6 linked regions of the Macaca mulatta genome follow. The protein of the gene in region 6 interacts with the protein of the main gene of each other region in a biochemical or structural test. Links are inferred from orthologs where the notes say so. Each region holds a gene or a part of one and is shown on either strand. Other genes may lie near its edges.

Region 1 (5,009 bases), on a different chromosome or scaffold from region 6:
AAAAGCCACTCTGCCATCTAATTTGGAGTGATGTCCCAGAAAGCTAGACCTGAGAAAGTCAGGGTCCCACAAAGCCCAAAGCCAGCCTGACTGATTAAGAGGCTCAGACAAGCCGGTCTTTGTCCTTTCAAGATGAAAGAAATGGATTGAAAGGTGTGTGTACAGCCAGAGGAGGAAAACCACCCAGCTGTGGCCTTCCCAAACAAGTCCCAGCTTGCTCCTGCCGCCATGGGGGAAGCAAATAGCCAGCACCAAGGTTCCCAGAGGCACCCTCCGAGCAAGCTGGTCTTTCTCTGGGGGACAGGGAGCCCCTGGGGCCTAGCCCACACCGCCGGCCCATAAGCAGTGGCAGCTTTTTTGCTCTTGGTTTGCAGGGCCTTCTACAGAAGCCGGAGATTACAAATACCTTTTTAATGACCCCAGCCAGGCTCTGAAGGCAGCCGCTGGGATCTGCACATTCAGTGGGAGTCCAGGGTACCCAACAGAATGGAAGATGCCATAAATCCCCCACCAGAGAAAGGGCCTTGGCTAACCCCAGGCTTCAGGAGGGCGACAGAGCTCTGCGTTCATTATTTGTGTGTATGTATTTGGAATTTTCCTTTAGTTTTTGGTATAGTTAATAAATACGCATTGTTTTTTTAAAAAAATCACCAATACAGAAGTGCAGACAATGAAACATTAGACCCCAGCTCCCACTCCCTAAGCCCCAGCTGTGCCCCCACCTCTCTAGCCCTCCAGTAAAATCTCCAGTTCCTGGTGTCTTCCTCCAGGAGGACACGATGATACACAAAAGCATACATGCAGGCCGCTCACCTGCACCTTGCTTCTTTCCACCTCATGCATCTGGGAGATGGTTCTAAATCAGGTCATATGTTGCTGCTTCCCTCTTAACTGGCTGCTTAGTATAATTTAAACTTTCTTGAAGGTATTTTGGCATCTAAACCTCCCACCCCTTGCTCGCTGAAGCTTGGCTCACTAGCTGGATTTGGTTATTAAGTACAGACAATGGCCTCCCCGGGAACTCCAGGGACCTTATCAGGAGGGGGAAGCATGAAGGCGGATCTGCGCTTCCCCGCGCCCCCAGTCCACGCCCCAGGTGCCCAGCGTGGGGCTTCAGTATCATTATTTCCATGTTGACACAGCGCCCGTGGGCGTGAGTTTGCTGTCTTGACTTGGTTCGGGTTTTCGCAGCAAGTTACACAAGTAGAATGAAAGCGCTCAGGAAACAGCGCTATCCGGGCGTGTTATCTCGGAAACCAAATATTTGATCATCAGTCCCGCAGAGCGCTGCCGGGGGTTAGTTTGAGCAAGTCTGGAGAATGAGTGCGCGCAGACGGAGGGGGAGCTCCCCGGCCCTCGCCGCAGCCCCAGGCTCGCGTCCCCGGGGTCGTCGCGGCTCCAATCGTAAACCGGGACCCCCAGTCGCCCCCGCGGCGTCAGCTCGGAGATCCCGCGCAACCCAATCGCCAAAACCTGTGGTTTGCGCGCCACACGTGATAAATGCTGAAAATGGATTCTGCCGGCCTGAGACCTACCACTAAATATTTAAAATAGAAAACTAGAGGCAGGGCACTGTGGCTCACGCCTGTATTCCCAGCACTTTGGGAGGTTGAGGCAGGAGGATCACCTGAGATCGGGAGTTCGAGACCAGCCTGACCAACATGGAGAAACACAGTCTCTACTAAAAATACAAAATTAGCCAGGCGTGGTGGTGCATGCCTGTAATCCCAGCTACTCGGGAGGCTGAGGCACGAGAATCGCTTGAACCCGGGAGGCAGAGGTTGCGGTGAGCAGGGATTGCGCCATTGTACTGCAGCCTGGACAAGAAGAGCGAAACTCCGTCTCAAAAAAAAAAAAAAAGAAAAAAGAAAAAAAGAAAATAAAAGAAAGAAAAAAAAGAAAAAATAAAAGAACGCAAACTAGCAAGCTCCCCAACTCCAGCCAAGAGAGAATGGGGCATCCGGCGGCCCGGAGAGGGGCCCCAAGGCGTTCGGAGCGCGCGGTAGGCTAAGGCGGGCGCACCACTAGGGGACAGGTAGGGCTTGTCAGGGCGGGTAAGGGAGTGCGACGGCCGAGATGCCAGGGCCAGGCAGGGCTGAGAGGGGCCCAGGAAGGGCGGGAAGGCAGCCTCGCCGGGAAGGGCCCTTTACATCCAGGTAGCGCGAGCCGCGCCAGCCCAGGACAGCTCACATGACCAAGCCCCGCGCTTTGAACGGCCGGCGCCTCCAGTCCCAGAGATGCGGCCGGCGGCGTAACATGGAGGGGACTTCCGAAGATCCCTCCTTCCCAGTAACCCCCACAGGCCCACCGAGCCCAGCGCGCCAGACCTGGAGGCGCACACAGCTTGGGAGCCATAGGGCTGTGGGTGGGAGACCCTCGGGCAGGCACTGCGATTTCAACCAGGAGCAGAAAGCTGGGCGGGCTGTATAGAAGAAGCGGCTCCCTCCCTCCCGGTTTCAAAGTGCCCCCGAACAGACACGCGTACCCCCGCCTGCCCTTACCGAGGTTGACGAAGCTCATGACCATGTCGGCGTCGGTGAGGAAATGGCTATCTTGCAAGCTGGCCAGAGGGGGGCCCTGGGTGCTGAAGACGGCCTTGTAGGGGTAGGAGAAGCCCTGGCCGCCGGGCCCGCCGCCCTCCTCCACCGCCATGGCGTTGTACAGGTCCAGCATGAACATGGGCGCCGAGTTGTGCTTGCCCTGGAGGTGCGGGCGCGGGCGGTGGGGCAAGCCCAAAATGGAGAGGATCTCGCGCTGCATCTCCCGCCGCTCCTGGCTGCGGAGGCGCCGATGGATGAAGCTCGAGTGCACCTCGTTGTCCAGGCTGAAGTCGGCCAGGGCGGAGCGCAGCAGGAACAGGGGTGCCCAGAGCGCCACGAAGCTGTGCGGCGCCGCAGCGCGCAGCGAGCGCACGTGCATCGCGCCGGCTCTACGCGCGACCCGGGCTCCGGGCTTCGGGCTCCGGGCCCGCACCGCCCCAGGTGGCAGAAGGGGCAGGCGGCCGTTCGCGCCGCTCGGTCACTTGCTGCAGACGGGCCCCGCTGCGCCCGCGCCAGACATGGCCCCTCCCCGGCCTGCCGCGCTCTGCCCGGACCCCCGCCCCCTGCTGGGTGCTGGCCCCGGGCCCCTCGCCCCGCACTCGCCCGGGCGCACCGCCGGGCTTGGAAAGCAGCCCCGGCGAACGAAGAGGCGAGTGAGGAGGCGGGCGCGGGTGGGAGGAGCAGCCAGCAAGCCTAGGAGTCCAGAGAGCCAGTGCCGGGGAGGCAGCGAGGAGGCAGGCGGGCGGGCTAGCGCTCCTTCTTCCCGCTCCTCTGGCGCTCTCGCCCTCAGGCGGCGGCGACCCACCCTCTTCCAACCTCTGGCGTGGAGAGCAGGGGCCCCGGGGCGCTCTCCCAGCCCTGCGCGCCCTGGATCGCACAAGAGGCCGCCTCTGGAGCGCCAGAGTGGTACACGCTGGGGCCTGGGCGGAGGAGGAGGAGGAGGACGGGCTTCAAGGGGCCCCTCCCGCGCCGGCGGCCTCCCACCTGCCCTCGGCCCCGCCCTCCCCCTAGCTGTGCCCAATGGGTTCATTCATTCCCTCTAGAGCGCTCGACAAATGTTTACCGAGTGCCCACGGGGTGCCTAGAGCCTGGCGGGACGTCGCGGGGATGCGGCTGGAGGAATCCAAGCCGGCCCTGCCCTCTTGGCACTCGTGGTCCGGACCAGGAAGGCGGCTCGAACGGGACCGGTGGGCTGCGGGCCGCGGTGGGAAAAGTTGGGGGAGCGCGGAGGTGGCGCGGAAATAGAAGGCTTCCTGGAAGCGGTGACCCTTGAGGCGGTCTTGCCCCTTAGTCCCCGTCTCCTTTTAAGCTAGCCACGCTGACCCCTCCGCGCCTCTCTGAACCGGTTGCCAGCTTGTCTCTGCGCTCGCCATTCCCTCCGCCTGGACGGCTCCCGGCTCACCACCTCCCGCCCCCCATCAGACCCTGCTTTCTCCCAGAGACCTCCAAGACCTGCCAAGCTGAGGTTGTTTCCTCGCCTCACCCCCACGTACATTTGTTTTCTTTCCTGTAATTTCTCTTGCTGTCTGGAATTGTTTGAGTTACTCCGTGCCGTCTTTATTGCCTTCTTATCCCCGCTAGACGCCCAGCGCACTGAGGCCAGGACCAGCGATCTTCTCCGCAGCTCTGGTGCCCGCAGTGCCTTGAACCTAGCGCCTGGTAGCCACTGTGGCTGCGCAATCACGATTTGTTGAGTGAATAAGTGAACTTCGTTTGAGCTGGGGGGTTCTTCCCACTTTCTCCTCTAAGGGGCCCTGTATCTTTCCAGCCACCCCTCAGCCTGAGACCAGACACCCCAGCCCCACCACTAGGGGTTCCCATCAGCCCTCCCCGCCTGGGGAGCCAGCCGCTGGTCTTCGCATCCTCTTCCCCTCCAAGGGTCTGTGCCTGAGACCTCCCCATCAGCCTCCTCTCCTGCCTCTCCTCATCTATTCATCCCTCAATCAATACTGAGACATGCACGCTGTCACAGGGAGTCCCCAGACCACTCAGAACCTACTGGTCCCTCTGCCAGTGTGGGATCTCAAGGGAATTACTGCACCCAGAGTGGCAGTGAGGGCAGCAGGGTAAAAGTTCATCCTGTCTCCTTCCCCTGCTGGGGCTGGGTGAGAGAGGATCCCCAGAGGGGCTCTGGGATGAACTGGGAAGGGCTGAGGTTAGGGAAGCGGGTGGGGGCAGGGGGGTTGTCTGGGAGGGGCTCTGGCTAAGCCTCACTTTGGGGCTGTCCTTCCTGGAGCACGAGAGCTGGGGAAGAGAATTATGGTCTTCGACAGTTTTCTGGAGCAGAAGTAGTTTGGCCAAGTGGTCCTCTGGGTCTCCCTTGGGGGCTTTTGGACTAGATGGCAGCCTGAGGAGCCACATGGGTAGAGAAAGGGGAGGCCAGAGGCCAGGCAAGGAGCAGAAAGATACCAGCCTGCAGGTCCTGGCCATTTACACCCAGGCCCCAGGCTGTGAGATGGAACAGGTTCC
Region 2 (4,512 bases), on a different chromosome or scaffold from region 6:
AGCCCAGATTCCAGTGTTCTGAGGATAATGTAATTTATGTGTCAAAATATTAAGCTGCATAGATTCTAACTACATGCTACACCTTTATTTTAACAACCCACTCTCAGCATTTCCTTACAGTACCACTGCCAAGTTGATTCATATTGGATGAATGTCTTTCCCTGGGAGCTAAAGGAAATAATCTGCTTCTAAACTTTTCACTATCCTTTTGAGAAGACAGTATATTATCACTGTCTCCATCTCACAGATTAATAAATAGGGTCTAGGAGAAGCTTAACGGATGGAAGAGAGGCAAAACAGTCAATGAGAAGGACTGAAATACTGTGGTGCTTGATACTATATTTATATTATAGATCAGCGAGGACACATGCTTAGACATTCTTGAGCTAATTTAGGTGGCTCTAATAGCTACTTGTTCTGATTTTCTTTCTTTTTTGGGGACTAAGTGGAGTCACGGTCTTCCTGAAGAGGCATTCAGATCCATACTGCTGAGCCTGATCACTCAAATACTCAGATGCCAAATGAAGAGAAGATGGATGTTCTTTCTCTTTTCCTTTGTATCTCTGCCTTCAGGTACTACTACCAAATGGGCTGCATGGCAGAGAAGTGTTCAGTAAGCTGGCAACTAAGAAGAGCAAGAGATTTCACACGTATGACCTGTAATCACTAATCACCTGAACTGCATGAAAAGTGAAGTGAAATTCAAATGAAACTATATAGCAAAAAAAATTTAAGGGATGAAGCTAACTTATTATAGAGGTAGGTTCAAAATCATGTCTCTGAGACTAATACTTAATTCTGTCAATCAAGACTTCTCCTGTCTATACTTCATTCATTTATTTCAATCTTTTCCCAACCTGGCCATCCTGCCCTATTCAGTTCTAAAAGAAAACAGGGAATAGTTTTCTCCTCTTCAGACCGTGGGCTTATGGCCCATCTGGAGAAGACAGGAGCTTCTGCTTAGGAGCTTCTCCTATGAGAAGCCCTATCCTATTTCAATTTCCTTTTATTTAAGTCTAGCCCTTTGAAGCCAGCTCTCCCAAGAATATTCTAGATAATATCTCACACCCTCAGCATTTTTCCATTCTTTATACCAACCATCTGTACTGTTTCCATACGAGTAATAAGTTGGCCATTTTTCACTAGTCCTGAAAGTTAATAAAAAAAGAAATTCTACAGAATAATTATCTCCAATCTACACCTCCTTATCCCCCAGCAACTGATAGTATCATAGGATTACTGTGACCTATGGTAATGTGGAGAAATGAACAATAGGGCCAGAGTTATATTTTGCATTTTAATAGTTTTTACTGTAGGCTTGTTCTAATTTATTTTAAGACCTGAGGTCTGTGGGCCCGTATTTATCAGCTAGTCTTTTTAGGTTTGCCTGAATTTCTTAACTTGTTCATTTCTTAAACATTATTAAACATTGCGCTATGATTCAACATGTTAAAAAAAAGATCTTAGGCCAGGCCCGGTGGCTCACGCCTCTAATCCCAGCACTTTGGGAGGCCGAGGAGGGCGAATCATGAGGTCAGGAGTTCGAGACCAGCCTGGCCAACATGGTGAAACCCCATCTCTATTAAAAATACAAAAAATTAACTGGGCATAGTGGCAGGCACCTGTAGTCCCAGCTACTCAGGAGGCTGAGGCAGGAGAATCACTTGAACCCGGGAGGCAAAGGTTGCAGTGAGCCAAGATCATGACACTGCACTCCAGCCTGGGTGACAGAGCGAGACTCCATCTCAAAAAAAAAAAAAAAAAAAAGGATCTTGTCACTCCCCTTGAGGAAATTCTAGAAAAGAATAAGATTAATAATTTCCATGTAGTAAGTCTTGGTAGAGACATTAGCAGGATGAAATGGGAACACAGTGGACAGATACCCAAATCAACTGCATTCCAAATTTTCATGTTAATAATGGGTGAAAAAGGGCTCTGAGTCTGAAAAGGACACTTAATTCCAACCTTCCTTCTTTCTGTTTTTTGAAGTTAAATCCAATTATAAGGGCTGACATTCCCCCAAAGGAAGATACACATTAGTGTTTTAATCAACAAAAGGAGGCAATGATGGATGAAAGACAAAATTTGTGGATTTTATATCTCTTTTCCCCGTATGAGTCCCTCGCTGCTTCCTGCCTCGTGCTTTTTGAACAAGTAACTTCACATTCTGGGCTTCACATTCTCATTTATCAGGTGAGCATAATATTGCCCTCCATGCTCAATGATAGGGTTGGAAAGAATGACTGATCAGAGTTGCTCCCATTCAGCTCTATAATCTGTATATTTCCAGACCCAAATCTTTCCAAGGAAAGGGATAGGGGTAGGACCTAGGGCTTAGGGAGCAAAGGACAGTGAAGGAGGCCGAAGCCCATTCTCACCGAAAGTATCTTATCACCCTCCTGGAGCCGCCCATCCAGGGCCGCAGCCCCATTTTCTTTGATGCGGCTGACGTAGATGCCACTGTCGTTGGAGACATACTGCTGATCTGTCCCACCGACGATGTTGAAGCCCAGCCCTGAGAAAATCATGGAGGAGTAAAAAGATGGGGGTGAAGAAGAAAGAAAGGGATTAGAGAAGATGAAGAGAAAGGGAGGAAAAGCCTACTGGGCAGGAAAGGCTGATGGAGAGGAGACGCTGGCGAGTCAGGCTGTGATGGAGCTGGTGAATGGTCATGAACAAGGTCAGCAGTATCAAGAGTATTGAGTTGCTCACTCAAATGAGGCACAACTGAAAATATAAACACAGTGATTCACCTGTTTTGTTGAATATATAAAGAAAGATATATATAGAACTTAAAGAGTAATGGTGATTACTCTAAGTTCTTTCTTTTTTTTCTTTTTCTTTTTTTTTTTTGAGACAGTCTTGCTAGGGGGCATAGTGGCGGGCGCCTGTAATCCCAGCTACTCAGGAGTTCATAACTCAGTTTCCCAGGCTGGTTATGAACTCCTGGCCTCAAGCAATCACTACTGCCTTGGCCTCCCAAAGTTCTAGGATTACAGGTGTGAGCCACCATGCCCAGCCTACATGTAAATTCTTCTACTCACATTTAATTTTGATCCTGTTGATGGTATTCAAAGGACCCAATTCCTGACATTCCTGATATTACCACAGCAGGGTTAGTTGTGTTCATGAGAAGAAGCTATGCATTTTTACCAATTATCAAATGAACTGTTCCTAATTTAGTGTGAGAGATTCCTAACCATACCTTCCCTTCCACACTTTCCTTCTCCCAAGCTTCTGGAGAATTTATGTATGATAGTGCTTTGGAAAAATCTCTTGAGAGTTTCATTTTTTTTTTTCTTTCTATTTTGGTTGGTGGAGGCAGTGGTGTAGGTATTGGCAGAGAAACCTCAGAACCAGAAAGGTAACTGCTGTTTCATGGTAGGACTAAATCACCAAATTTACCTTCCCTTCCTTTGCTACTTCAAGTACAACCATATATAGGTTGAGTATCCCTTATCCAAAATGCTTAGGACCAAATGTGTTTTGAATTTTGAATCTGGGGGATTTTGGAACATTTGAATTAAACTTACCAGGTGAACATCCCTAATCCAAAAATCTGAAATCTGAAATGCTTCAATGAGCATTTGCTTTGAACATCATGTTGGCCCTTAGAAAGTTTTGGAGTTGGTGCAGTGAGCCGAGATCGCGCCACTGCACTCCAGCATGGGTGATAGAGCAAGACTCCATCTCAAAAAAAAAAAAAAAAGTTTTGGAGTTGGAAGCATTTCAGACTTCAGATTTTTGGATTTGGGCTACTCAATCTATATTTGGGTATAGTAATTGACAAGTTTTATTCACTGTAGAAAAAACTGACTACTCATTGATTAGCAACTCCCCAGTTCTTCTTCCCTAAGTCCTTGGAAACCACCATTCTAATATTTGTTTTTATGAGTTTGACTATTTTAAACACATATAATTTTAGTTATGCAAGATGAATCAAGTTCTAGAGATCTGCTGTACAACACTGGCCTATAGATAATACTATATTGTACACTGAAAAATCTGTTCAGAGTAGATCTCACGTTAAGTGTTCCTACCACAGTAAAATAAAATATTTTTAAAAAGAAAAAAGAGAAGGAAAGAAAACTGAGTATCAAAGTGCTATTTCCATGGACCAACAACTAAGTGCTAGAAAGGATTTCACTGTACAGAAACCATTGTTATGAAGGGATTTTACCTATGCTTAAAAAAAAAAAAGGAAAAAGGAACTTCCCTAGGGTTCTTAATGTCAGCTACTGGTAGAATTCAGGGCCATAGTGTAAGAGAAAGGAGATAGTTTGGAAACAAGAACCAAAAATCTGGTGGTGCAATTGGAAGGAATAACCATAATCACCAGCCTACACTGGTCACAATAGAAAAGATACTTAAAGAGACATATGCGGGGCGGGGAGGGGGCGGGGCGGTGGCTCACGTCTGTAATCCCAGCTGAGGAAAGCGGATCGCAACGAGACCATCCTGGCTAACACGGTGAAACCCTGTCTCTACTAAAAATACAAAAAATTAGCTGGG
Region 3 (5,140 bases), on a different chromosome or scaffold from region 6:
TTTTTTATACATAAAGTTTACAAGAGTTTGATCTCAAATGGCAAGGAGACTTCACAACAGTACTACCTGAATCAGTCGAAGTCCTGAAAATTCATGATTACCTTCAATAAACAGAGCCTTTAAGTGTGCATTTTGTGCAACATACACTTTGGAAGCTCTCTCTATTTGCCATTTAATCTTAGAAAATCCACACCATACTAAGAAGAATATCCAAATTTTGAAGCCATTTAAAAATATTTTAACTGATGACTGTTCTTTTAACCTCTTTTTAAACCTTTGTCACAGTTTAAACAAGGCTTCGAAAATACTTACAGTTTGACAGTAGTATAAAACCTAAAATTTAAGTTAATTCAGTGATAAACTAACAGAATTCCAAGAAAACTACAAGTACATTATGCCTTGTTGAAGAGAAAAAAAGAAACACAAAGGTCAACACCTCACTTTATAAAATGTGTTGTCTGCATCGAAAAAAAAATCAAGGACTAAATCTAAAATTAGAGGTTTAAAGTCATTTTCAAGTGCTACAATACTGTTTTTATACAAAATTTACTAATAAATAACCATCTTCATAAAGCGATAATTCTCTATAAAGGACTTGCTCTATTAAGGTTTTGTTGCTTTTAAAGCCAAGTATAAGCCATATTAGGAAACTGAAGTTCAATGCCATTTATTTTGTTCAGTTCTTTCAGATGCCCAAGAATAAACTCTTTTGCAGCCTAATGATACGTTCCAAAATCATAAAGTATACGAGTTATGCACTTTAAATTCTTTGATAAAGCTAGTTTGACTTAACAGGAATTACTCGATGGTTCATAAATCTTAACAACAATGAAAAAAAAAATCTCCTGAGACCATGCCCTGGGGAGGAAAAAAAAAAATCAAAACTACTGTAATAAATAAAAGACTGCCTTTGGAGATGTACTTAATGAAGCTGAAGTAGCAAAGAACAAATTGTGAAATAATTTGATCCTGATCTTTAAAACCTATTTTTTCTCTTTGAACTAAAGAAAATCAACTCTCTCTTCGGGTTTCCGGTCATTACGTGAGACAGTACAGGCGATCTAAACATCAATATATATTCAGGATATACCTACCAACAGGTTACCAAATTTATTCAATATATATTCAGAACTACAGTATTGTATTTCACCTCCCTGCACCAAAAAGCTAAACAGAAAAAGACTAAAACACCACTGAAAAAAGCTTTGGGTTTGCTGCTATCAAAACTAGTCCCCATTGGTTCAGAAGTGTTCATAGCTCTGACTGGTGGAATGTCTGCCATGCTTCATGAATCCTGTCCCCACAGATGTAGGCAGAACCTACCACTATTTATGCAGAACCGACCAAAAACATTTGGGCCAACACAAAAATGTAAATACCATACTACTCAAAAAGCATAGCTTTTTATCACAATCACTGTGATTCCCTTGAAAATCGTTTCAAGCGTTTTACTTCCCTTCCCATATAGTCTGTTCTGAACTGCACAGAAGTCCTATCAAACGTCTTACAGGTTGTTGTTATTATTGTTTAATTATGTCTCTCTCTTTATTATTAGTCCTTACTCCTTTTTTCTTCGTAATGGATCAGTTACAAGAAAAGTCTAGTCGATACTTGCTTTCAATTAAACAAGTTATACAGCGCTAAACGTCTGAAAAAAAACAATTACACACAACTAAAGAAATATATTACCCTGAAAAACAACTAAGAATGGCAAGATTTTTTGGTTTCTAAAATCTAACTAAATATACTGATCATAGTTGGAAATAAAACAATAAAAACCTCTATATACGATTAACGCAAGCGCCAATATAATCGGTAGGAGTATAAACAAACGCGGCAGCCATCTCAATAACAGCAAATCACTCGCTGCAGCGACCAAACTTTCTTCTCAAACAGAAGGTACCAGGCTGAGCAACTTAATATACACTCTATACGTTCCAGAAAGCCAAAACTTCTGGCCCCTGGGAACAAAGGCACTCCTTCTTCGGATTGCTGAAAACTTTTTGTCCCACCGCATTCTTACAACCTCTTCCAAAAAATCCAAAGTCCAGATGGTGGGGCGGGGAGGGGGGAGAGGGGAGACAGGGGGGTTGCAGTTCGATTATTTAGCCTCTCAATTATTATCCGCTTCGATATGAAGAGAGGAAGATTTAGGGTAACTTGGAGAAAAGTGAAAAACACTAAAAGATCATCTCTTTTCCAAGTCACAAAGTCCCATGAACTTTGTGACTCAGAGACACTTTTCGTGAAAATTACCTTTCGGCGCGACAGCGTCTCAGGGCAGCTTTTTCAAGGCTTCGCTTGACATGATTTCCTTGCCTTCATTAGTCACTTTGGATCCAGCTGAATTTCTCTCTCGGGTGAGAGCGGATGTGGACTGGCCTCCCGCAGAAGAGTAGGTGGCTTTGGTGGGGGTTGGGGTGCGGGCTGGCTTCCTGGTCTCTAGTTTTGCAGGAGTTTCCCAGCCCCAACTAGGATCTCCGCCGAAAAAAAAAAAAACTTTTCACTCGTGACACTGCCCGGAATTGCAGTGCGAAACTCACTTCCTGCCTTGGCGAGAAGCAGAATCCAGCTCCGTCCAGGGGAACCCGGAAAACCAGCTCAACGCGCACCGGGGAGGGGGAGGGGAAGGGACAGCCGCCGGGAGCCTCGGGCTCCGGGCAACCGGCGCGCCCCGCACACCGGACGGCAACGGCACCCGGCCGGCGGGGGCGAGGACACTGCCCGGGCGCTCGGCGAGCCTCGGCTGCGCTAGGCCGCCACCGCTTCCTCTCTGCCGCCCCCAGAGCCGGGCGGCAGGGTTATTGTCTCGATAGAGCTTGCCGCGCCCTTCGTCCGCGACGCCGCTGCCGCCGCCACCCGGAGCCGGAGCCGAGGAGTCGGGCAGGCTCAATGGCGGCCCCCTGCCCGGGCCGTCCGTCGGGCCGTCCGTCCTTCCGTCCGTCCCTCCCCGCTTTCCCTACTCGCCCTCGAACCCTCTTCTCCCTCTCCCGTTTTCCCGCCGCCGTCCCTCCGCTGCCCTGCTCGTTCTCCTTCCCCAGCGGCGGTGGCTCCCCGAGACGCGCAGGGGGCGGGAGCAGGCGGCAGCTCTGTCTTCTCACGAGCTTGCGGGGCCGCGGCAGGGGCCGAGGCTGCGTCCCGCGCCGCCGCGCCACATTCACTCGGGCGAGAGACCGCGAGGGGAGGGAGGATGGAGGGAGCGGAGAGAAAGGAGGAGGAATGGGGCAGGGGCGGAGGGGAGTTACTGCCTCACAAGCCGCGGCGGCAACAGCGCCACCGCCCCGGCCGCGACGGGTGAAGAGGCTGCGCGCCGCGGCTCCGCGGCGGGGGCGGGGGCGGGGCGGTCTCCCGCCGGCTTCGCCCCAACCGCCAACAGCCGGGCAGGAGGCCGGCGCGGGCCAGTCAGCGCGCGGGGGCGGTGCGGGCCGACGTCGGCGGCGGGGGGCGGTGGGCCGGGGGCTGTGGGAGGGGCAGCCGGCGGCCGTGGGTTCCCGTGAAAGGCGAGCCGTGAGGCCCGCTCCGGCCCAGGCTACCCGAGGCCTGTCTCCCGCCCGCTCCCCGACCCCGCACTCCCCCACTTCTGAGCCCCCCAAGGTGGGGAACGCTGGCGACGCCGACCCTGCTGTCTGCTAGCGGCCCCGCGCCCAGCCAGGGAGATAGCCCACAGGCCTCCGCCGCCCCGGCCGATGGAGTTTCTTTGTACGACAGTAATCGGTGCACAGGGGTTGTTGGAGTCCAGCCCTGATTTGAAGGCAGCAGGTATCTTGCAGCTGCAGCACTCCACCTTCCTCTAATGGCACGCTCAGGTCGCAGGAAACCACAGCGGCAGCGCGGCGCAGCTTCCCACGCCCGCCCTTCGAGCTTGTTCCCCAACGGCGCAGCTCAGCCTCCTCCAAGTCCCAGCCTGACACCGGCGGGGAGACAAAGCTGGCGCTGAGAGGGGAAAAAGGGCCCGCGAAATGGCCTCAAGATCGTGCCTTTGTTAGAGGAAACATGGGTACGCTCCGATGCGACGCAGGCTTCCAACCCCAGCGGTTGGGTGGTGGTGCAGTCGTTGAATTGCACTGGCCCTAATAATTCAGCCTGGCAGGGTTTGCGTTTATTGCGGAGAGAGACTCTTAAGCATTCTGTCAACACATATGGCAAATAGAAAGCCTCAACCATAACATTGTACAGTTTTTGCAGTTCTTGCTTTAAATATGTTCACAGAAAAGACGGCCTTGTTTTACCCAGAGAAGGAGCGTATTGCGGAGCAAACCATTCGCCACCCCCATTCTCTGCTGTACTTAACTGTGTACAGTGATGATAATTAGCCTGTGGGTCCCTGAAGTCTCTGGTTCAGTTCTTCCGTCTGTATTCCAGAGATAATTATTTATTACCAAGTTTGAATAAAGAGCTATATCCCCTACAGACTTTTTTTTTTTTTTTTTTTTGGCTTGCCAATGGAAAGAGTTCGTAAATTCCACCAAGTAATTATTTATCAAAATGAGTTGACGTTAGATACAAACACTTGAAATAACGCCGAAGATATTCAAGTTATTTTATTCAGATTGGGAGCATTTTTAACTACTTGAAGAACTGCTGGAATTAATACAGGTATTAGGTTATTTAGCATAGAGCAGAAGTTGAAGATTTACAGGTAGTACTGAAGTGTTCAGATATATTCAGTGCTGAATTAGAGGTAAGAGTATTCGCTGGAAGCTAGGAAATGACAGTAGCTATGCCAGTGTTACCAAGCTGGATATCTATTTTATGTGAAAATGAATCTTAACCATTGCATAAAAAGCTAAAGTTAACATATTGTACAAGCTATTTGTAATCATCGCTAGGAAGATTTCTTGCTCCATTTTCAAAAACCGCTTTGTGTCTGATCAGAACTCAGTGGCATAGCTCTGAACTGAAAGGGTCACTCTCCTAAGGCATCCCAGGATGGAATATCTCCCATACTAGTGGAAAACCAGCTAGATTCTGGGATTCCAGTGTTGCCTCTAATTTCAGGTTGATTCAAGACCCCTTTAAATGTGATGCCATAGATTCGAGTAAACCTAACCCTCCTCTCAAAACTTAAACAACTGATCAGGCCACTGCTTTAGGCTAAGACTTACCTTGGTCCTAACGTTTTTAAAATTTAAACTCATAC
Region 4 (3,896 bases), on a different chromosome or scaffold from region 6:
GTATACCTTTGAAAATACTCTTATAACTTAAGGGCTTGGGTGAAACCAAATAGAGATAATACAGACCAAAACTGTTATCCCAGATGCTCTTCTGTCTAAACCCTGAGACTCAGCTTCAGTGTCATGGAAACAGACCCTTCGGCAGATGCCCACCAGGTGTGTTTGCATTTCAGATGCCATCTCCATGACTGCCACGGAGGACTTCCCCTTCCAGAAGCACATCTTGCTCTTCAACATCTCCATTCCCAGGCACGAGCAGATCACCAGAGCTGAGCTCCGACTCTATGTCTCCTGTCAAAATCACATGGACCACTCTCACGACCTGAAAGGAAGCATGGTCATTTATGATGTTCTGGATGGAACAGATGCCTGGGATAGTGCTGCGGAGACCAAGACCTTCCTGGTGTCCCAGGACATTCGGGATGAGGGCTGGGAGACCTTGGAAGTGTCCAGCGCCGTGAAGCGTTGGGTCCGGTCCGACTCCACCAAGAGCAAAAATAAGCTGGAAGTGACTGTGGAGAGCCACAGGAAGGGCTGTGACAAGCTGGACATCAGTGTCCCCCCAGGTTCCAGAAACCTGCCCTTCTTTGTCGTCTTCTCCAATGACCACAGCAGTGGGACCAAGGAGACCAGGCTGGAGCTGAGGGAGATGATCAGCCATGAGCAAGAGAGTGTGCTCAAGAAGCTGTCCAAGGAGGGCTCCACAGAGGCAGGTGAGAGCAGCCACGAGGAGGACGCAGATGGCCACGTGGCTGTGGGGTCGACTTTAGCCAGGCGGAAAAGGAGCACCGGGGCTGGCAGCCACTGTCAGAAGACCTCCCTGCGGGTAAACTTCGAGGACATCGGCTGGAACAGCTGGATCATTGCGCCCAAGGAGTACGAAGCCTACGAGTGTAAGGGTGGCTGCTTCTTCCCCTTGGCTGACGATGTGACGCCGACGAAACACGCTATCGTGCAGACCCTGGTGCATCTCAAGTTCCCCACAAAGGTGGGCAAAGCCTGCTGTGTGCCCACCAAACTGAGCCCCATCTCCATCCTCTACAAGGATGACATGGGAGTGCCCACCCTCAAGTACCACTACGAGGGCATGAGTGTGGCAGAGTGTGGGTGCAGGTAGTACCTGCCTGCGGGGCTGGGGAGGCAGGCCAAAGGGGCTCCACATGAGAGGTCCTGCATCCCCCTGGGCACAACAAGGACTGATTCTATCTGCATGCCAGCCTGGAGGAGGAAAGGGAGCCTGCTCTCCCTCCCCACCCCCCAACCAAAGCATACACCACTGAGCTCAACTGCCAGGGAAGGCTAAGGAAATGGGGATTTGAGCACAACGGGAAAGCCTGGGAGGGTTGTTGGGGTGCAAGGAGGTGATGAAAAGGAGACAAGGGGAAAAGTAATCCAGAGTCAACAGAAAACAACAGCAGTGAGCCAGAGGAGCACAGGTGGGCAGGTGACTGCAGAGATTGATGGAGATTAGAAAGGTGGAGGAGGCTGGCTTATTCCAAAACCCTTGGGGAGTAGAGGGAAGGAGCAGGCTGCACGCCACACCCATCACTGCATGTTATTTCCTACAATCCAGTTAGAGGGGCATGGCTTCCAATTTAGAGACAGAGAGACAGAAACACAGGCAGATCAAGTAGCATTGGTCAATGGCATGATTCCAACCCAGAGTTGTGGGACACCAAAGCCCAGGATCTTTCCAAGTGCCCCGCTGCAGTTAAGCAGGTCCTCTCCAGCTAAAGAGCAGTGAGACATTGGGAGCCCAGGAGTGTTGAGGCCGGGCCCGGCTGAAGCCCATCAGTCACAAGTGTGACTGGGCTACTTGTCACATACAGGGCGTGGTCTGGCCACTGTTGCCAGTGCTCACTCAGCGGCCAAATGCTTTTTAATATCACCCCTGAGGCACTGAAAAACTAACCCCAGGCCAACTGCAGGACAGAGAGAGAGGTCAGGACAGCAGCCCTGTGGGCTGCATGATACACTGTGGCCAGAGCTATTGTGACCCCCTGGTGCAGTGCTCCCACGGTCAATGGTGCACACGGGGCCACTCACTGTCCATGGACTGATACCATGTGACCGTTTGAGAGGGCTGGGCACACTTTCTCCTGAGGGAGGGGGTAGCCTGTGGCCAGCACTTCTGCAGTTACTCAGCATAGCCAGACCACCAGGATGTGGTGCCCAGGGTGCCCCCCAGCGACAACCCAGGGGAGACGGGCCTGGATTTGAATTTGTTGGAATTAAATGTGCTCTTGCTTTGGTCTTTGAAACATACCTATTTTTAATCCTTGGTGACATGTCCTCAAGTGACAAGACTCCAGCCTTCCTGGGCGAGGCCTCCCCAGCCTCGGAAGAGCTGCAGTCCTTATCGGCGATCACTGGCTCTGCCTGCATTTGCCGGCTCTCTTGAGTCACGTGCATCCCAGCACCCCGCCTGGGCTCGGATTGTGGGACCAGATTCAGCCTCCCCGAACCCAAGGGATGATAAGGCTTCCATTTGCTCTGTGTTTCACCCTCTCCTCTGACTCTCCTGGCCATACATGGAACGGGGCAGTGTGAGGAAGAATCTGAAAGTGATGAAGAGTGCACCTATGGCCCTCTGACCTCCAGCCAGAGCAGGGCCTAGGGGAGGCTTAGAGAAGCCAGTGCCTCTCCCCATGGTTGAAGCTCCCGTTTATTTAAAAAAAAAAAAAAAAGTGGGGGGTGGGGAAAGTGTTATGTTAAATGTTTACATGGAACCAATGAACAACTTTAACACAAATATACAACACAACATTCTTGTTTAATTACTGGTGTTAGAGAAAATATGAATTCCTGCTACATGCCGGGCAGTGTGGTGTTACAATGCTATTCCATGTTGGGTGTTGAGCATCTTCTTTCAGTCCTGGTGCTGTGCTTCTGTGCCTGCTTGAAAGTTTCACTTGGAAATAAAGTCAAATGTCTAATTTGCAGCCCCTCCTAATGTGAGACCCAATCTTGAGGACCCTGTAGACTCACACCCTGCCTACCCCACCCTCCGACCCCACTGGGATGGGCCTCCTTTTCCTAAGGAGGCAGAGGGGAGGGGACAGGCAGCCACCTCAGGGCTGGGTGGATGCAGGTGGGTGGTGTCTGCAAACTGGGTGAGTGATGTGGTGCGTCCACACTAGGGTGAGCGATGCAGTGTGTGCACACTGGGGAGAGTGATGTGGTGCGTGCACACTGGGGAGAGTGATGTGTGTGCACACTGGGGTGACTGATGTGTGCACACTGGGGAGAGTGATGTGGTGCGTGCACACTGGGGAGAGTGATGTGTGTGCACACTGGGGTGAGTGATGTGTGCACACTGGGGTGAGTGATGTGCTGCGTGCACACTGGGGTGAGTGATGTGTGGGCACACTGGGGTGAGTGATGTGGTGTCTGCACACTGGGGTGAGTGATGCGTGTGCACTCTGGGGTGAGTGATGTGTGTACACACTGGGGTGAGGGATGTGTGTGCACAATGGGGTGAGTGATGTGGTGAGTGCACACTGGGGTGAGCGATGAGGTGCGTGCACACTGGGATGAACGATGCAGTGTGTGCACACTGGAGTGAGTGATGTGGTGCATGCACACTGGGATGAACGATGCGGTGTGTGCACACTGGAGTGAGTGATGTGGTGCGTGCACACTGGGGTGAGTGATGCGTGTGCACTCTGGGGTGAGTGATGTGTGTGCACACTGGGGTGAGTGATGTGTGTGCACACTGGGGTGAGTGATGTGGTGCGTGCACACTGGGGTGAGTGATGTGTGTGCACTCTGAGGTGAGTGATGTGGTGTGTGCACACTAGGGTGATTGATGTGGTGTGTGCACACTGGGGTGAGTGATGTGCGTGCACTCTGGAGTGAGTGATGTGTGTGCACTCTGGGGTGAGTGATGTGTGTGC
Region 5 (4,969 bases), on a different chromosome or scaffold from region 6:
GGCAGCTGCTACAAACGTTTTTATCTGAAGGCTTGCCTTGTCTCTACTCAGAGCCTATCTCGGATTTAAGCACAGGACAAGAAAGTCATTGTGGAAACAATAAGATTGATTGTAGAATTGATCTCCCACGGGGATTAGATTGGGATTCAAAATCTTCCACACCAGGCCCAGATCAACCATAAATTAGAAAGACTTTGGGGCCCTGGGCTTTGATTTTTCAATACTATCTCTGAAAACTCTGCCCTTGGCTCTGTCTACCCTGAAACCCTGGCTTAAGCAGCAGATTTATAGAGCAAAAGCTTCCAAACAGACTTAAAGAAATCTTAATCTGCCTCCCTTTTCCTCCTTTTCCCTCTGTGGAATTCTTGCACGTTTAGCTGACTAGGGGCATGCCTTTTGCCCTCATCTTCCCCATCACTTGATTTCTCTCCAATTCTTCCGGGAGGAGTAGCTCTTCTGGCTGCAAGCCAGGAAGAGGGTGCGGAGTTACTAAAGGGGAATCCCTGGCTCCACCACCACACAAGCAGTGAGTTAAAATCAGATTCAGAAACCATAGTACAGAAGCAAGAGTGGAAACGTCCGCTGGCGCCCTGGCTAAGCTGCCTCTATAGGGATGGCTGCAGTCTGCCCACGGTGGAGGGCTTTGCAGGGTGACTCCCCGCCCCCACGCCCTGCTCCATGCCTCACCTTCATGGTGGAAGCTGCGCACAGTGTTGGCTCGGCTGGCTGCCCTCTCCAACCGGTGGTCTGGGGCAGGTGAGCCCGGCTGACCCGAGTGCCTGCGATACAGGTCTAGCATGTAGGGGGGCACCACGGCGTCCCTGCTGGGGGTGGGTCTCTGTTTCAGGCCGAACATGCTGAGCAGCCGCAACTCGAACTCGCTCAGGACCTCGTCAGAGGGCTGGGATGAGGGGCGGCCCGACGACGACGCCGCGAACTTCCTGCGGCCCAGCTCCGGAACGAGGCCAGCCGCGCCGCCCAGGAGGACCTGGGGAAGCAGCAACGCTAGAAGACAGCGGGTCCCGGCCACCATGGTCGACCTGCGGACAGGACCGACGTGAGTCACCCGAGCTCCCCGCCCAGTCCTCCCCCCTCGCGCCCCCGCGGCCCGGGCTCCCATTTGGCTGGCGTGCCTCCTCCAGGGTGCCCTCCTGGCTTGGCACACTCGCGAGTCTAGGTAAGACCGACCGAAGCTCAAATGTTTGGGATAATGAAGGGCCCCAAGTTCCAGAACCAGGTGATTTATCGCTCCCATCCAACTCTTAACTTGTCTAACATCAGATTTGGGGTTTGCCCTCCCCTCCCAACCAAACCAGCGCCAACGACTGTCACTTTTTTGTGTGTAACACAGCGCTGACTGCCAATGCTGGGAACCTGGGAGAACCACCGCTTGGTCTGACACCCTGCGTCCCCTATACAAACCCAAATGCAGAGCGCTGAGCGCTCTCTGGCATATAAACACACACAAATGGTGCATGTGACTTCCTTAGAGGCACTGTATAGAACTTCCTGACACACACACACACACCCCTATAACTTCCAGACCCTGTAAGCTCAAGGCCACAACTTCTGAAGCCACTTACAACTTGTGTCCCACGCCCCTACACTCAGGGGTGTCTGGAGAGGCAACTCCATCCCGCATCCCCGTAGTACGGTCAAGATACTCATGTATCTTCCTGGGATTACATACATGGTGAATATCTATTAATGCACGTGTCAGCTGTTAAAAACACAGCACCAAGTGATTCTTCAGTACTGACCCCTCGCATTTCTGGAAACAAGAAGGGAGAGCCCCAACTCCTAGTACTTTTCTCAATGGGATAGGGCTCTGAGTAAAGAAACCAAGTCTCCCAGAAACACTAGAAGAAGGGAGAGCGCCATGGCAGGGTGGACAGGTTCTCAGCTAACGGGTGAAACCCAGGGGCTACCCTCTCAAAGGGATTTCTTTGACTCAAAAAAAAAAAAAAATTAAAAAATTTAAAAATTTAAAAATTTAAAAATAAATAAATAAACAAAACACCTCATCTAAGTGTTAACAGCTCCAAAAGTATTCCGGGGAGAGGGTAAGAAAGAGGGGTGGAAGAGTGCGGGCCGGGAGGGTGAGGCTGATGGTCGCCCGGGACAGCTGGAAGGGGGCACCCCGCAGGGCTCCGTTGCACGTGGACTGGAAAGGGGTCTGTTTACTTCTGGCCTGGACGTAAGGAAGGGCTCTGCCGCAGTGGCTGCCCAAATCCCCCTCCCACCTACCACCTACCCCGGCCCCTGGGCCGCGTCCTCTACCTTTAGGAGACCGCAGTCCGTCTAAGAAGCACGCGGAGACACGTCCATTGAAAGAGCGTCCACATGGAAAAACTCTGGTCAAAGGACCTGGCGCAAGGACCGAATGTCCGTTCCTTTCCTTTGCCTCCTCCTTCTCCCGGGTGCCGGCCGCGCAGTCTCTTTTCACGCTGGGAACAGCGTCTCAGTCTCGGGCAAGGCCGAGGAGTGGAGGGGCGGTGGGGCTCGGAGGTGGCGAGGCAGGCTCCGCTGGGGCAAAGGCACCGGCGCAAAGTGGGGAGCTCAAGTTATTCTCCCTGCAAGTTCAAGAAGTCCCCAGCCAAGTGCTGACACACAACAACAGCGAGCAGGGGGAGGAGTGCGGGGCAGGGAAAGGAAGGGAGAAAGGAGAAGCTGGTGCTGTCGTCCTCCTTAGGAACCAGCGCCCGAGGGACGCGTGGCCCCGCGCGGGGCCGGCTCCAGGACTCAGGGAGCGAGGGTCGGGCGCTCTGCGCTAGCTCCGCCGCGGCCCATGGCTCGGGGCAGCCATCCTGGGCGACGCCGGGTCCGGGGAAGGGCACGGCGGCGATTTCGGTGCCAGGCGAGTTGCCCCCCCGCATCACTCTGCCTTACTCCAGTGCACCCCCATTCGCGCTCGCCAGTTGAAAGCACCGCGGCTCTGGCGCCCCGTCGTCCTCGGGCGCATTCTCCGGCGAGTCGAGCCAAGTCCCGGGCCGCCGAGGCGGGTGGTTGTGCTCTCTCCTCTCTCTCCTAACCCTGGGGCCAAATGCCCTTTGTGACTAGCCTGGGGTCCGATCACACCTCGGCCGGCGCTTCCCAGGCCCCCGATCTCCTGCAGTAGGTGCCCCGCATCGCGGCGCTAGGGATCGGCTCCGGAGTCGCCGGCGCTCTGCGCGCCCGTCCGCGACTCTGGCGCAGCCGGGGCAGCAGAGGCCACGGCGCTGTGGCGCGCTCTGCCGGGTGCTCCAGCCCGCGCGGGGTCTGCGGCGCGCGGATGCCTCGCGGTCCCCGGTGATCCGCGCGGCGCTGGCCCCGAGAACGTTCGGGTCGCCGGCGGAGGCTGTGGCGGCAGATGTGCGGCGGAGGCTGCCAGTCCCCGGCAGGGTGTGGGAAGCGGAGCGACTAGCGCAGCGCGAGCCCGGCGCAGCGCGGCGGGGCGAGGACTCCGGCGGCGACGGCGGCGGCGGCGCCGTGGCGCGGCGCTCGCGGCTTTTAAAGGGGACGCCGCCTGCCGGCTCCCTCCCGGCCGCGGCCGAACACCTCCCCCTTCGCGGCGCGGCTCGCCGGGGATCCCCGAGCGGGCGGGAGCTGCGCGCAGGGGTGTGGACGGCGCGCCCGGGCAGCCGCGGCGGGGTGGGGCGGAGGGCGGGGGCGCGCGGCCGCCAAGGGGGGCGCTCGCGCCTCCACTCCCTGTCCTCAAAGGAGAGATCAGCTGGCGCGCCGGACCCTCGCGGGGACTCCGGAGGCGAAATCCAGGACAAATGCAGGGTCAGGGTCTGGCTTCTATTTCCCCTCTGGGCCCGTTATTCAACTTTCAGTTTGGAGTTTTTCGATAATATACAATTTCAAAAAACAAAACAAAACAAACACCTCAATTACAGCGCATTTTGGCATAGCATAGACGTCGGATTCACGCTTCTGTTTCCCCGGAATAGGAGGAAAATTAAAAGAAAACAGGAGGCTGGAAATTGAGTGTTTTTAAACATTAATACAAAGAGATGTATGTATTTACATATGTAAATGCATGTGTACAAATTTCCTTTTACATAAATATGTGTGTGCATTTATTTTCATATCCATATGCATGTTACAGTTATATAAATATATCCAATATACAAAAATATGTACATATATTTCTATATATTCATATATGAGAACATATGCAACCGAAGGTAAACATTTCGGTAAATATATGTCTACGTGTGTGACATGGATGTCATCCTGCTTTACGTGACATGTGTGTAACGTAGACTGTGTGTGTGGCAGCCTGAGGGATGGATGGGAGGGATTTGATTTCTTTTCATGGTACAACCACTTTGTGCCTTGTGATGTTTATCTCACCCAGCTCAGAGGCAGGCGATTAACAGCTCAGAGGAAGGTAAAATAACGCACTGTGTGAACCAAGCATACAGGACAATTTCAGTTTGGGACCTTGGAACCTTCTACTCCACCCTCTTCCATCAGGCCCCCAAGAAGTAGGGCTGTGACACGTGGCCAAGTCACTCCTCAGCTGAATATTCGCTCAAGTCACTCCTCAGCCGAAACATTCCTCAGAGCTGCTGCACGATGAGTCTGGGGCCAAGGCTTTCTGGCCTTCCCTGGATTCCAGGAGCCCCCATGCACAGCACCTCGGGCTTGCCCAAATGATTCCCGAAATCAAGGGCAGAACATTTTTGGAAGAGGCCACGGTCTACTTTCCCAGAGCTATCGGGCCTGCAAACCAGAGAGAAAAAAGTCAAGCGGGAGCTGGTAATAAAACTATTATCCATGTGTATTATTTTTTCGGTGGGGGAGCTAAAATAATACCAGGTTCCGCTCACGTAAATCGGATTAGCAACCCACAGAGGCGAATCAGGCCCTTGCTGTTTCTAAAGGTATGAAGGTCAAATAAGGTATTTTGGAGGAAGCCTGACTACCAGGAAAATAAAACGGGGTGGGGGGAATTATTCAGGAACATGCTACTTTATTTCCT
Region 6 (4,512 bases):
AGTGAGCCAAGATCATGCCACTGCACTCCAGCCTGGGTGACAGAGCGAGACTCTGTCTCAAAAAAAAAAAAATAAATAAATAAATAAATAAATAAAAATAAAAGGTGACCTTGTAGGAATGAAAACATCTTTTCCAGCCTCAAAGTTTCTGAGAATAAAATGTATGGATAATGTTCTTTTCCCTTCTGGCCTTCCTAGAGGTTCCTATTACTAAGATCTCTGTGCACATAGAGGCATACAGAGATGTCAGAGTTACCTAATTCAGGGGTTTACAAGTGCTCTGAACTCTGGAGAGAATTTGGAGAAAAGCCATCACGTTGATTAAAGAAATGAATGAAGCAATAAACAACAAGAAGCAATAAACTATTATTGCATGGGAAAATGGACAGGGAATTTAATACACTGTAGGTAAGGATAGTGACTAATTATTCTTCCACTCTTCTTAATATGGTGAAAGAACTAACAGACTAAAACTACTAAGTTCATACGAAGAATTCCCTAAGAATGAGGTCTATTAAAAGGTGCTGGATTATTCTTTGATCAATTTTTCAAAAACAATCCTACGACACGTGTCTAAGTTATTGTTTTATGAACTGCTTAATCTAAACCACCTGAGTCCTCTACCATCGTATGAAAATGTCTTCCTCAGAAACTTTAACACATAACACTGTTAGATGCTGATTTAACCACCACAACAATTTTAGACTAATTCAGTCCTGACATGCCATTCTAAGAAAATATGGGACAAGTTTATTTTTTCTTATATTTTATAATCATCGTCCTTACCTGTCCATGGGTATCGCCTGCAGACTTGCCAGCCTCAAATTTTAAGGCCAACCCAAAGTCAGCAATGCAAGCTGTCAGGTTGTTTTTCAACAGCACATTTTTACTTTTGATGTCCCTTGCAAATAAAAAGAGTATTCAAATTAAGTTTAGACAAGTTACGTTTTAAATTTTTTATTGAAAGCAGAAAAGAGGGGGAATATGTACACTATGAAAAAATAGTTACTTAAAATTATGAAATGCAGAGAAAGGGAGAAAGAAAAAGCTCAGAGCCCCCATGTAGCCTTTAACACAAGAGCACAGTGACAAACTCCTATTCATAACATGGACAATAAGAAGGAATCCTATCTATAAAGCAGTTATATAAACATTTGCCATGTCAAAAAGATATGTTACCTATGTCACCCACCTACCAATCACAAAACTACTGTTTTCTAAGATAATATTTTAGAGTTCTTACTTGCAAACTCCCATAGAAACTGAAATTTAAACCAAAATGAAGAAATTTTTAAAATATTGCTGAATTGAGGCCTTCTGTTTATTGGTACAGACCTACATTTTAGAATAATCCCTTATTATAGAGGTTCTTATATTCTTCCACCCAGTTATAGAAAAGCATCTTACGGCATGGACAATAGAAACTTTTTACCATAAACATACACTGCTCTAGCTAGATCCTGGTGTTCTGAAAAGGGTAACAGTTTTAAGGCAATAAGATATCCTCTTCTACACACCTGTCTCAACTGGCTCATCCTAGAGATTACTATACCCTAATTAAATACATCTATGCCATGACTAGTGGTTAAATTTACGTACAGATACATAGACCAAGAATGGGATATTGAAAGCAAGAGTAGACACTCCCAAATGCTATAAAAGCCAATCAATCTTAGTTTCAAAAGACTTTCAGGACCTTTTCTTAATAACTCTGGGGATTCTTAAGGATTAATTCCCTATGTGGCCAGGTAGAGCAAGGGAAAATCCAAGAAGAGGCCAATAGACTGCATGTAAGAAAGTGAGAAGAAAGAGTTATTTCTGAGGTAGACGTCATTTAAAGTTTGCAAAATCAGAACTTAAATTAGAGGCTGACTTACAATAATGGCTCCCAGCAACCTAAAACATCACCTGGTGGCACTCAGCTAAGTACCTGTTCCATGAATCAGTTAATGCCTACTTTTCAAACAACCATCTTTAAATTGAACACAAGACGACAAATTGAATCCCACGTTCAAGAAAATTAAATACATGGCAAACTGAATTCCATGTTTAAGACGCAATCATTTTTCCTTTTGCGGGCATGACAAGTGTTGGGTCTAAGAACTATTTCTTCACTGGACAACTGTTTAAGTGATGCCGCCCTCTACCTTGGCTCAGGGTAAAGATAATAAGGTCATTCAAAAAACAAGCAAGGGAGACATTCAAAGTCTCTCCTTCATTACATGCCCTTGGATAATAATCCCTATTTATAATCATCTTTAAAGTATATCACGTTTTGAGGTAAAACAAATGTCTTTTTCCTTTGAGATTGAGAAAATAGAGTTTATTTTCAATCATGCTTTCAGAAATGAGATGAAGTAGATCATTAAACTTTACCAATAATGTTAATATATACATTATCCAAAATACTTCCTGGCCAATCTCAAAGCTAACTTTAAAAAACAAATGAAAACCAACTGTCTTGTAAAGCATGACTGAATAACAAAGGAAAAATTAAAACTTACCCATGGGCTTAAAAGTTTAGTAAATGTATACTCAATTACCTGGGAAAACAATACAAATATAGTCTACCTGTGAGATATGGCAGGTTTGTGGCCATCTTTTAGGCCAGGTATATCCTCATGTAAATATGCCAATCCTCTAGCCATGGTTTCTGCAATATGACATAGTTCATTCCAAGAGACCACATTAGCCTTAAGAAAGTCTGACAGTGAACCCTAAAAAAAGACAGAAAAATAGAAACTTACATTCTTGACAAAGGCCGTATGTATAAGGAGACTTTTCTTTTTACCTATAAGAAGTTGTGGAAGGCAGCATTATCTTTCCTTTCAGGGAAAAATAATATCCAAGAAACAATCTTTCTGGAATGGTTAAAATTTCCTTCCATTTCACATTAATAAACATTTGACCAGAAAGAAATACCAGAGCTTTAAACTTTTGTTACAAGAATAGTCAATTTCCACCAATCCATAAGAGAAGTTTTTTGTTTTAAACACTAGCTGAATATCTAAGGTTCTAGAAAATATTTTAATAGTTAAAATATCCTGACTATAGAGTTCTTACATCGTGGGACTAGCAGAACACAAAATAACAACATAAAACAACAACTAATATATAGAATATTCTTCTAGAGATTATTGTTGTCCTTTAGGTCAAGAATTAACAGAAGTAAAAGAACCACTTACATTTCACAATGATGAAACCAATTACCAAAAACATAATTTCCTACTTCATTAATGGTACTTTCACACTGACTCTAAAAGCAGAAAAAATGAGGAAAACTAGCAATTATGTGTTGGTGATAATTACCCTGCAAGTTAGTGACAGATCAAAGATGAGATAAATTTCCTGACTCTGGTTTTGTCACTAAGCAAGACTGATTAAAACTGAAAAAAATGGTTCATGTAATCAAAATGAATTGTAAATGGTAAGTGAAAATTACTAAGCATTACCTATACTAAAATAAATGTTTGTAAGAGTAATTACAGCACAAGAAATAAGGAACAAAAGGGTGGTTTATATGAGTAGGGTTTTAGGTTGAAAATTTGCCATCTTTGCTCTTTTATTAAAATAAACTACCTTTTAAAACATTTTTATTCAAGAATGATTTTTATTTTCAGGTTAAATATTAATCAACTATAACATGTCTCGAAAAATAACGCTGAGGGATTTATAGCTAACATTAGGTACGCAGGCCAATTCAGACTTTACTAAAGTAAAACGTTAAATAGTTTTACCTTTTCATGAAATGCTGTGATTAGCCAAAGATCCACATCAACACTGGTGCCTCGTTTTTCTGCACCAATGAACTGTAATATGTTCTCATGCTTCATTCCAGGCAAACTGTAGACTTCATATTCATTTTGCCATGACTGTTTGTCCTAGAGTCAAAAAGAAAGAATAGTAAGAACACAAGGAATACGGGTAAATAAACCATGTCTAAGAGATTACTCAAATAAGTTCCAAAGTAAAACAAAACAAAACAAAACAAAAAAGTATTTTAAAAAATTTTTGTTCTGTTTTGTAATAAGAAAAAAGCTCTGACAATAGGTTAACAAATTTATAGGAAATGCCTGCCCTGTCCATTCCCTCAAAACGTACTTTTCTGTGTTTCTAGTTTACAAACACAGAAGTTGATCTGAAATGCTGCATTCTGTATCTTACAATGGCAACACATAAGTTACTGCAAGTATTACATTGTAATTTCATCATGGTGTGAAGCTACTTGTGGTACTATTCAGAATAATCTCCTTGAAAGATGAAATTCAGGCAGAATGACTTCCTCTAAATAGAAAACATCTTCTTTTCAAAAACTAACATAATATCAAACATCCTTCAAAAAATGTTTAGCATACCCTGCAAAGTCAATGAGAAAGCAAGGGGCATACATATGCAATGCAATAATTTAAGACACCATATATTCATTTGTGCCTGCAAGCGATCCATGTCTACTAAGTATCTTCTTATAAAAGATTAGTTTCTTTTCACTACTAAAAGACAGTAATAGTGAGA

Evidence for each region.
Region 1: the proteins of ACVR2A (region 6) and BMP7 are reported together in a solved structure, tested with the Homo sapiens proteins (2 studies listed by BioGRID, with this or other methods). The link is inferred for Macaca mulatta from reciprocal best matches to the Homo sapiens genes ACVR2A and BMP7.
Region 2: the proteins of ACVR2A (region 6) and SYNJ2BP form a complex in vitro, tested with the Homo sapiens proteins (2 studies listed by BioGRID and IntAct, with this or other methods). The link is inferred for Macaca mulatta from reciprocal best matches to the Homo sapiens genes ACVR2A and SYNJ2BP.
Region 3: the proteins of ACVR2A (region 6) and ERBIN interact in a test that uses a peptide from one of them, tested with the Homo sapiens proteins (2 studies listed by BioGRID and IntAct). The link is inferred for Macaca mulatta from reciprocal best matches to the Homo sapiens genes ACVR2A and ERBIN.
Region 4: the proteins of ACVR2A (region 6) and GDF2 form a complex in vitro, tested with the Homo sapiens proteins (2 studies listed by BioGRID). The link is inferred for Macaca mulatta from reciprocal best matches to the Homo sapiens genes ACVR2A and GDF2.
Region 5: the proteins of ACVR2A (region 6) and BMP2 form a complex in vitro, tested with the Homo sapiens proteins (3 studies listed by BioGRID and IntAct, with this or other methods). The link is inferred for Macaca mulatta from reciprocal best matches to the Homo sapiens genes ACVR2A and BMP2.

What each region holds. Positions count from the first base shown.
Region 1 is NC_133415.1:110,054,953-110,059,961, forward strand, and holds the start of BMP7 (bone morphogenetic protein 7), read right to left. Parts: upstream 3,034-5,009; 5' UTR 2,920-3,033; coding exon 2,502-2,919; intron 1-2,501. UniProt on the Homo sapiens protein: Growth factor of the TGF-beta superfamily that plays important role in various biological processes, including embryogenesis, hematopoiesis, neurogenesis and skeletal morphogenesis.
Region 2 is NC_133412.1:143,543,338-143,547,849, forward strand, and holds part of SYNJ2BP (synaptojanin-2-binding protein), read right to left. Parts: intron 3,731-4,512; exon of another isoform or gene 3,184-3,730; intron 3,002-3,183; exon of another isoform or gene 2,811-3,001; intron 2,516-2,810; coding exon 2,379-2,515; intron 1-2,378. UniProt on the Homo sapiens protein: Regulates endocytosis of activin type 2 receptor kinases through the Ral/RALBP1-dependent pathway and may be involved in suppression of activin-induced signal transduction.
Region 3 is NC_133411.1:74,026,376-74,031,515, reverse strand, and holds the start of ERBIN (erbin), read right to left. Parts: upstream 3,273-5,140; 5' UTR 2,257-3,272; intron 1-2,256. UniProt on the Homo sapiens protein: Acts as an adapter for the receptor ERBB2, in epithelia. By binding the unphosphorylated 'Tyr-1248' of receptor ERBB2, it may contribute to stabilize this unphosphorylated state.
Region 4 is NC_133414.1:61,457,024-61,460,919, forward strand, and holds the end of GDF2 (growth/differentiation factor 2), read left to right. Parts: intron 1-173; coding exon 174-1,117; 3' UTR 1,118-2,942; downstream 2,943-3,896. UniProt on the Homo sapiens protein: Potent circulating inhibitor of angiogenesis. Signals through the type I activin receptor ACVRL1 but not other Alks. Signaling through SMAD1 in endothelial cells requires TGF-beta coreceptor endoglin/ENG.
Region 5 is NC_133415.1:77,222,440-77,227,408, forward strand, and holds the start of BMP2 (bone morphogenetic protein 2), read right to left. Parts: upstream 3,584-4,969; 5' UTR 2,281-3,583; intron 1,041-2,280; 5' UTR 1,034-1,040; coding exon 688-1,033; intron 1-687. UniProt on the Homo sapiens protein: Growth factor of the TGF-beta superfamily that plays essential roles in many developmental processes, including cardiogenesis, neurogenesis, and osteogenesis. Induces cartilage and bone formation.
Region 6 is NC_133417.1:52,892,757-52,897,268, reverse strand, and holds part of ACVR2A (activin receptor type-2A), read right to left. Parts: intron 3,882-4,512; coding exon 3,738-3,881; intron 2,718-3,737; coding exon 2,572-2,717; intron 902-2,571; coding exon 787-901; intron 1-786. UniProt on the Homo sapiens protein: On ligand binding, forms a receptor complex consisting of two type II and two type I transmembrane serine/threonine kinases.